Mus musculus: one gene and its partner. The protein of the gene in region 2 purifies or fractionates together with the protein of the main gene of each other region. This does not show direct contact. Links are inferred from orthologs where the notes say so. Each region holds a gene or a part of one and is shown on either strand. Other genes may lie near its edges.

What was found.
Region 1: the proteins of Clspn (region 2) and Cdc45 purify together in Homo sapiens (affinity purification with western blotting; 4 studies listed by BioGRID and IntAct, with this or other methods). This does not show direct contact. The link is inferred for Mus musculus from reciprocal best matches to the Homo sapiens genes CLSPN and CDC45.

What each region holds. Positions count from the first base shown.
Region 1 is NC_000082.6:18,809,087-18,813,522, forward strand, and holds the start of Cdc45 (cell division control protein 45 homolog), read right to left. Parts: upstream 2,887-4,436; 5' UTR 2,480-2,886; coding exon 2,429-2,479; intron 2,279-2,428; coding exon 2,219-2,278; intron 1,396-2,218; coding exon 1,303-1,395; intron 1-1,302. Other genes in the region: Ufd1 (ubiquitin recognition factor in ER-associated degradation protein 1), read left to right, coding at 3,329-3,331. UniProt on the Homo sapiens protein: Required for initiation of chromosomal DNA replication. Core component of CDC45-MCM-GINS (CMG) helicase, the molecular machine that unwinds template DNA during replication, and around which the replisome is built.
Region 2 is NC_000070.6:126,580,797-126,584,611, reverse strand, and holds part of Clspn (claspin), read right to left. Parts: intron 3,653-3,815; coding exon 3,577-3,652; intron 3,181-3,576; coding exon 3,083-3,180; intron 104-3,082; exon of another isoform or gene 1-103.

The DNA of each region.
Region 1 (4,436 bases), on a different chromosome or scaffold from region 2:
GCACGCCGAGGCTCTGCAAACTCAAGACTTGTACACAAATAGCTAATGAAGAACAGGAGCAGGACTTCACACACACACATACCAGTCTCGCGGGCTGTTGCTCAATGCCAAAATGTTGCTGCAATGTCCCCTACAGCTTACCACATCACCAGCACTGTGTGGGTTAGGCTTGCAGTAAATCTTGGGCAGCCTCACGTGGCCTCCTCAATATTAGATCCTTTATCAAACAATCACTATAGGTAAAACCTTTCCTTAGTAACACCAAATTGCCTGCCTATGGGCTCACACCTGTAATACAACACTTTGAAGGCCAAGGAAGGAGGATTGTCCTCGGCTAGCAAATAAGATCTTGTCTCAAAATACTGGAGGTAAAAAACTCGACTGATATAAGTACTTCAAATTATAAATGAATCTCTTCCAAGTCATCCTAGAAGCAGCCAGGGACTCCAAATGCATTTTGACATGCCCTACCCATTCCCTATAGGGCCTTCAATAACCCATTCTCATCTGGTCCCAGGCAGAGGTAAGGAGTCTTGGTTCTACCGTTTAATTCCAAAGTGAAAACGTGTTTGATAACTGGAATGCATTTTCTAGAGATAACATAGAGCAGTAGTGTATCCTAATGAAATAAGTGAGGTTAGGACTGAACCCCCTCCCCAAGAGCAAGCATGAGCTGGATCTAGCCTGCTGCCCCCCACTCCCCCTGCACACATATGTAGCAAGTGCAGCTTCATCTTCACGTGGATCCCCAACAACTCAAGAGGGGGCTGCTCTGACTCTGTTGCCTTTATGTGGATTCCATTCCCCTAACTGGGCTGTTTTGTCTGGCCTCAGTGGGAGAGGTCCTGCAGTGACTTGATGAGCTGGGAGGGTGGGGGTGGGGGGGGTAACACCCTGTAAGGGGGGGTGGTTCTCCTTCTCAGAAAAGGGAATAGGAGGAGGTACTGTGGGGGGGGGTAACTAGGAGGAAGGAGGCTGATATGGGATACAAAATAAATAAATAAATGGAAACAACAAGTGAGGTCAGAGTAGGTGCTGCCCACAACTAAACTGTTTTTATTTTTGAGACAGGATCTTGTCGTGTAGCCCAGGCTGGCCTCAGTCTTGCTAGATGTAGTTCAAACCTACCTTAAATTGGTGGTTCCTTGGCAAATGTTGATTCCGCCACCATAACTTTAAGCCTAATAAAACTGATACTTCAAAAACACCCTTCTCCTACTTCAGAACTGGACAAATGCTAAGTATTAAGAACCTGCCACTGAGTAGAGTGGCCTAATTATTCTCCAATTCATTAGTTCATACCTGCTCTTTATGTTCAAGATATGCAGTTTCAAGTTCTTGCCACCCAGAAACCGGAACCAGCGTATACTGGACGTGGTCACACTGAAACAGGGCCTGGAGAGAGAGCATGTGGTCAGAAACCCTCATTAAAGATAACTTACCTGCAATCACCAGAAGCAGACTAGTTGAGTTGAGACAAAGATCTATGTGATATGCTGTTTGGTAAAAGGTCAATAGGAGAAGCTACGTGGCAAGGCTGTGAGCAAGAATTCAATCTGAATCTGTACAGTGTGCCAAAGTAAAACATTAAGAGAAAAAAAATACCCTAATTTTAATTACAGGGGTTCTGAAAAATTCCTAACCCCAGCACATTGTAAAAACCACACTATGAGCCGGGTGTGGTGGCGCACGCACGCCTTTAATCCCAGCACTCGGAAGGCAGAGGGAGATGGATTTGAGTTCGAGGCCAGCCTGGTCTATAAAGTGAGTTCCAGGACAGCCAGGGCTACACAGAGAAACCCTGTCTTGAAAAAACAAAAACAAAAAAACAAACCACACTATGGTCAGAGCCCAAACTAACAATCTTCTCTAATAGACTCGGGGCTCCTGTATTTCCTGCACTCCCTATTATACCACTCCCCACTGTCACATCTCCTCTCTCAAATTCCATCTTTGAGAGGTCATTTACAAATTCAAAGATTTCAGAAGTGAAACCATTTTCACTTGGGTTACTGTATAAAACACTACGTACTTGTCTCACTGTTTGCACTATACTTCTCTCTAGCTCCAGTATAGGTCAGAGAGGATATTTTGGGTTCCTCACCTCCTGCCTGCTCCTTCTGGTCCCTCCCCTTCTGTGACCTACCCCCTGCTGGGGCCAACCCTGATCTGTCACCTCTCCCTCCTGTCCTACCTTCCTAAGGTATTCAAAGCTCACCTGGAGGATCTTGCAAGCACACAAGGCATCCACGTCCGAGGCCACAAAGAGAAGGACCCTCTGTAGAAGCAAACGTGGACAGATGAGTTGAACACAGGGACGCTAAACTCTGTGGCAACTCTCTGACCTCCCGGCCCATCCACGGACACTCGCCCTCTTCTCCCCAGCCCCCAGATAAGGTTTGGATCAGGATCGTGGAATGGGAGTCACCTGGTTGTGGACCGTCTCGTAGAACTCCTTGCGGAAATCGGTCACGAACATAGCCACAGCGGCGGATACCTAGAACTGGCGCTGAGACACGGACAGCCCCGGAGGTCGTCAAGACTCCCGCCAAATCACAGCTCTTCTGATTGGTCCACGCCAGCAGCCAATAATTCTTAGCCTTTCCTCCTTTCTGATTGGTTCCTACTGGGGACAGCCAATAATGCTCTGCTATTCGCAGCTGGATAAGACCCGCCCGTCCCTCAAAAAATGAAACATCTTTCCTCAGGCTGCGAACCTTGTTGCCGGTGTTGACGCTAACGTCCAGTCACCCAAAACCACCTATGTTTGGCAGACATCTTTACTTCGGGAAGGAAGGTCTATTATCTGACCCTGGCATACTTAGAAAACAATATACTCTTAGACATAAAGTAAATTCAGTCACACATTATTTGAATGTGTTTCCAATAAGTTTCCAATACACGGTTCGTCGAATTAGAGTGAGCTATAGATTACTTCCGCCCGAATCCATGATGGCCGGGATCAACGCCGGAAACTCTAGCTGCATTCTGGGTATTGTAGTCCGTAAGGAGAACGGCTCCTATCAAGTTGTTTGGAAGAGAGTACTATCTAAACATTATAAACAGTCGCTATCCTGTGAAATCAATTATCAAGTGTTTTAATGTTTACTTTAAGTAATATTCAAACCTCAGGCCTTCCCATGACTTTCTGTTTTTCCGCCGCTGACTTCAGGCCTCCGTACCCCATCCCCTGCGGTGTTCCGTCACTTCCGGCGAGCCTCTCGCGGTTTCTGGGTTTCAGAGCAGTGGCCTGGACTGCAAAGAGGGAGCTGTGGGTTTTTATTGTAAGGTTCAGGAAAAGAAGCGGCATCACCAAACGCTGTCAGTCATGGTGAGTTGACCGGGGATCGCGAACCGGATGATGCCAGAGTTGCCCCTGGAGCTGGCAGGGAGGGCCTGGACCTGGTGGCGGAGGTGCCGAGTCACCCGGGCCTGCGTCGGGCCCCGACACTGTCCCGAGAGCTTCTGTCCCAAGTGGGACCCATAATTACGAGCCACCTCTTTTCTTCTTAGCTTGTCCGAGTCATGACTCGAATGCCTTTCGGCGGGACAGCAGCCCCGAGAGTAAAAAGGAACCTGCTACTTTATGTCGATAGTTCTCATAAGTGCTCGACACGCAACAAGTTTCCATGAACTCGGAGTTAACTGGAGATTTCTTGGGGGAGTGGCGCGAGGGAGGAGAAAACGAAGGACATTAAGCTCAGCCAAAGTTCCCTGACCTTTTATTTAGTAGAAATCATGTCTTAGGCTGTATGTCACGTTGTGTTCATCACGTTGTGATAACGACAATAGGTAATATGTAGTGCGCCTTTTTTCTATCAACGTATACTTATTTAATTCCTGCATTCCCCATGGAACATAGGTACGTAGTTATTATATTTACCGGTAGAACTAAAACTTAGAGAGGTGGTACTCAGGAAAGTGAGGCTCAGAGGTTGGAAGTCAAGTCCATCCGGCTGCAGTGATGTCTCATCACTCCTGTATATAGTGTTGACTCCGTGCCATTTGTTTGTTTGTTAAAAACAAGAAGTGATTATTAGATTTTTATCCTGAGTGTCACAGTAAGTCCCTGTCTAAGTTCATTTACATAACCAGCACTGAGTGTTTGATGTGTTAGGCATAAAAGCTTTAAAGGAAGTAACATGGATGATAGAAGCTCATGTTCATTGGTGGCTGAGTTGGAAGGATACCGTTCGGGTGTTGCATACTTCATGTACGTTGTTTATGTTCCAGAGAGAAGCAGTAGGTTAGATGGATGGCATAGGTGAAGATGCTTTGACGAGCACACACCCCCCACCCCCCAACCCCATGGCTCAAAAAAGGGCTTTGTGGGTTATGCACCTAAGACTGAGTCACACAGTTCTGGTACTTAAAGAAAAAGATAAAAGACTGAAGCACGCCTTTAATCCCAGCACTAGGGAAGCAGAGGCAGGCAG
Region 2 (3,815 bases):
TGAGCCCAACTGCAGATCTAAGAGGATGCTGGCTATTAAGAGATGCAAGCATTTTGAACTGGGAGGCGACAAGAAGAGAAAGGGCCAGGTGATCCAGTTCTAAGCCGATTTTGTTATGAAGACAATAAATTCTTGACTTTTCAACTCCTTTGCAGTTGTTCTTTTGGGAGGAATAAATTAATAAAAGCTTTCAGAAATTAAAAAAAAAATCAATCAATCAATCAAACCCCAAACCAACCAGCCAAAACCAAAACATTTAAAATTACTTGATTATTTTATGAGTGTTCTGCCTGTGCACCACATGCTTGCAGTGTGTACAGAAGATAAAAGGGGATGTCAGACCCCATTGTTACTGGGGTGACAGATGGTTGAGGGCCACCATGTGGGTGCTAAGAACTGAAACTGGGTCCTCTGGAAGTACAGTACCAGTACTCTCAACTACTGAGCCGTCTCTCCAGTCCTCCATTCTCCTATCTCTTATGTTGTGGGGAATTATAAATGCACACCGACACACCCAGCTGGCTTGCTGGCGTCCTTCCAATAGGTGGGTTCTGGGGATCGGACTCAGGTCATCAGGCTTGTACAGCTAGCAGCTTCACCTAAAGCCATCACCTGGTCCCAGAAAACTCGTAATTTTTACTACATATTTAGGAGTACCTGCTAGAAGGTTCACACTTATTTGTTTTGTATTTAAGCTCATCAGTGCTTAGAGAACAGTCTGATACAGCAAGACCAGAACTCCCTGTTGTCGACACTATTACAGTTTGTCTTTTCTAGTTCCTTTTCTGGTGAGGTGCTGGAGACTGAGTGTATAGCCTTGCACAAGTGAGGCTGTTCTCTAAAGCCCTCTAAACTTCAGCTCTACTCTTACATTTTGAGATACTTCTTGGTAAGTTGCCTGGGATAGCTAAAACTCTGTAGGCCAGGGTGACCTTGACGTATCATTGTCCTAGCTGAGCATTCAAGTAGGTAGTCACAGGTCTGCACCACCCGCCGGCCTATTAATTTTTCTAACTTCATTCTCTTTAAGAAGGCAGCCTTCAAAGTCCTCTTCTCTATGGTCACAAGAAGCAGAAATTTGGTGGGTCTGATAGATGAGTTATTTTTCTTTTTGAGACAAGTTCTCCTTATGTAACCCTGGCTGTCCTGGAGTTCACTGTGTAGATCGGTGCTGGGATTAAATGCACGGCCACTGTGCCTAGCTTGAAAGATGACCTCTTAGTCAGAGATATATTGTATTTTCCCTCTAAATGCTAGGCTTCCTGGAGAGTTCCTTCAACGGCCATTAGTCTCCAGGCTTCTCAGGAATGTTGCTGACAGTTCATCTTTGGTTGCCATTCTTTTTTTTTTTTTTTTTTTTTTTTTTTGGTTTTTCAAGACAGGGTTTCTCTGTAGCCCTAGCTGTCTTGGAACTCACTCTGTAGACCAGGCTAGCCTCGAACTCAGAAACCCCCTGCCTCTGCCTCCCAAGTGCTGGGATTAAAGGCGTGCGCCACCACTGCCTAGCTGGTTGCCATTCTTTAAGGACTGATTTGAAAAATCTCTGCAGTTAAATAAGTTTAACAAATACTACCTCTGGGGGTTAAAAGACCTGGTTATATTCTAAAGTTACACAAAAAAGTTAAAGTGACAGGTGACAAATGAGAACCCCAGCTGGATCTTAAGAGGATGAAATGACAGGCCAAAAGCAACAATATAAATCTAATAGAGATCAATATGACGTCCTGACATGAATGGAAAAGTCATGCACATGCTATAAGCTACTGGATCTTTATCAAATTACCTTTGTGAAACTGCTTAAGATTATGATACTATGGATATGCTATGAGGGAAAGTAAAGATGCAAAGTGAAACACACAAAGAAATTGTTTAAATCCCAGATGTTATGAGGAAATGTACTACCAATGCTTTCACACACATTCTGGCCAATTGATATCAACAGTTCCCTCCCTGCTTTCCTCCCTCCTCCCCCCCATCCTTCCCTTCACGTTTGTGGTGCTGGGGATAAACCAGAACCTTACACATACTATGCAGTGCTTTACTATTGAGCTTCACTGCCAATCCCTGTCCATCTGTCCATCCCTCCATTAGCTTACCCACCACCCACCCACCCACCCACCCACCCACCTATGTTTTTAGTAGTATGTGGTGGAGATTAAGCTCAGGGCCTCATTCATACAGGCAAGTCCTCTACCTATATCCCCAGCTCATACATTCTTTTGAATACTCTAAAAGTTTTACTCTCATGAGTGACAAATATTTTAAATATAAAAAAATTAAGCAGGCCATTTGTCTGAGACGAGAATCAAGAAAACCAGGAATGACAGACTTCATAGGAGCAGTTCCTGCCAAGGTCAGTTATCAGCATAGTCTTAGGGCATAGGGACTGACTCAGTTCTCCTGATCTTGGGTCACATGACTAATACCCATCTAACAAACAGCCAGAGCACACCTGATTAGAGAGAGACTATTCCAGGACACGATGAGAGTAGGAAGCAACGCTACTGAAATGTCATTGGGTCTGGGAGGAATTGAGAGATATTTGGTATTGATGTCACTTAAGGAAAATAGAACCATCTTTGAGTACGCAAGAAGTAGCCACAGAAGCCAGGCGTGGTGGCGCACGCCTTTAATCGCAGCACTCGGGAGGAAGAGGCAGGCGGATTTCTGAGTTCGAGGCCAGCCTGGTCTACAAAGTGAGTTTCAGGACAGCCAGAGCTACACAGAGAAACCCTGTCTCAAAAAAAACCCAAAAAACAAAACAAGAAGTGGCCACAGAAGGGTTTTAAAAAACTTATTCATGTGCATATGTGTGCCATGGCACAAGTGTGGAGATCAGAGGAAAACCTCTGGAAATTGGTTTTCTGCTTTCATCATGGGATCTAGACTGCCTTCCTGGCAGTCAGGGTTGCACAGGAAGCACTTTTACCTGCTCAGTCACCTCATTTGCCTCAAGGCCATGAAGGACTGGTTTAAATGTTAATCTCGAAAAGCAGAAACCAAACCAGCAAGTTTATTTAAAAAGGTAGCAGGCTATACCTCAACTTGGGAGAACTGTCTAGAAGCTGGACAGAACACCTACATTTGGCGCTTCATCTTCTCAGACTGCTTCAGGAGCTCTTCTTCATCATCCTCCAGGTCCAGGGCCAGCTCTTCATCATTGGAGTCACTGTGTTCATCCTGCCACGGCAGAGCAGCAAACTCAGTTACACACCGACAACAGGGATCACAGTAAGGGAGTGCTGCCACGCCTTAAGCACGGAACAGAGTCCTGTGCTCTTTTCCCTGTTCCTAAACTGTTTACTTTGTAGACAGAGTCTAGCTGTGCAGCACAGGCTGGTCTTGAACTCACAAACCTACCTCAGCCTCCTAAAGCACTAGGATTTCGGGCACATGGTCCCAGGTTTGAGCTCCAGCGCCATGAGACAAAACCAGAAGGCAACAAGAGGGTTTATAAAGTTCTGTCCCCACGCCTCAGCACAGGACACTGCTTCTGGTAAGACGCTAAGCTCAGTTCTCAAGAACGAGGGCAGGGGAGCACCGAGTGGAGCTTGGTTGTACTCTCTCTGCACTCACCTCGTCACTAGCAAATCCATTCTCCTTTGAAACAAGCTGGAAGTCTCCAAATTCCTCCTCTTCACCCTCTTCCTCCCTAGAGGACAAAACACTAAGTTACTGAAAGCACACCACAAGCAGCCAGCCAAGCTAAGGACTTAAGACACTCATCAGCACCAGAAATTTCTTTTAAGAAGCGGGAAATGAGGTATTTTGTCTTTTTAAAAAGGTGTTTTGAGCCTGAGGGCTAAAGCATTTAC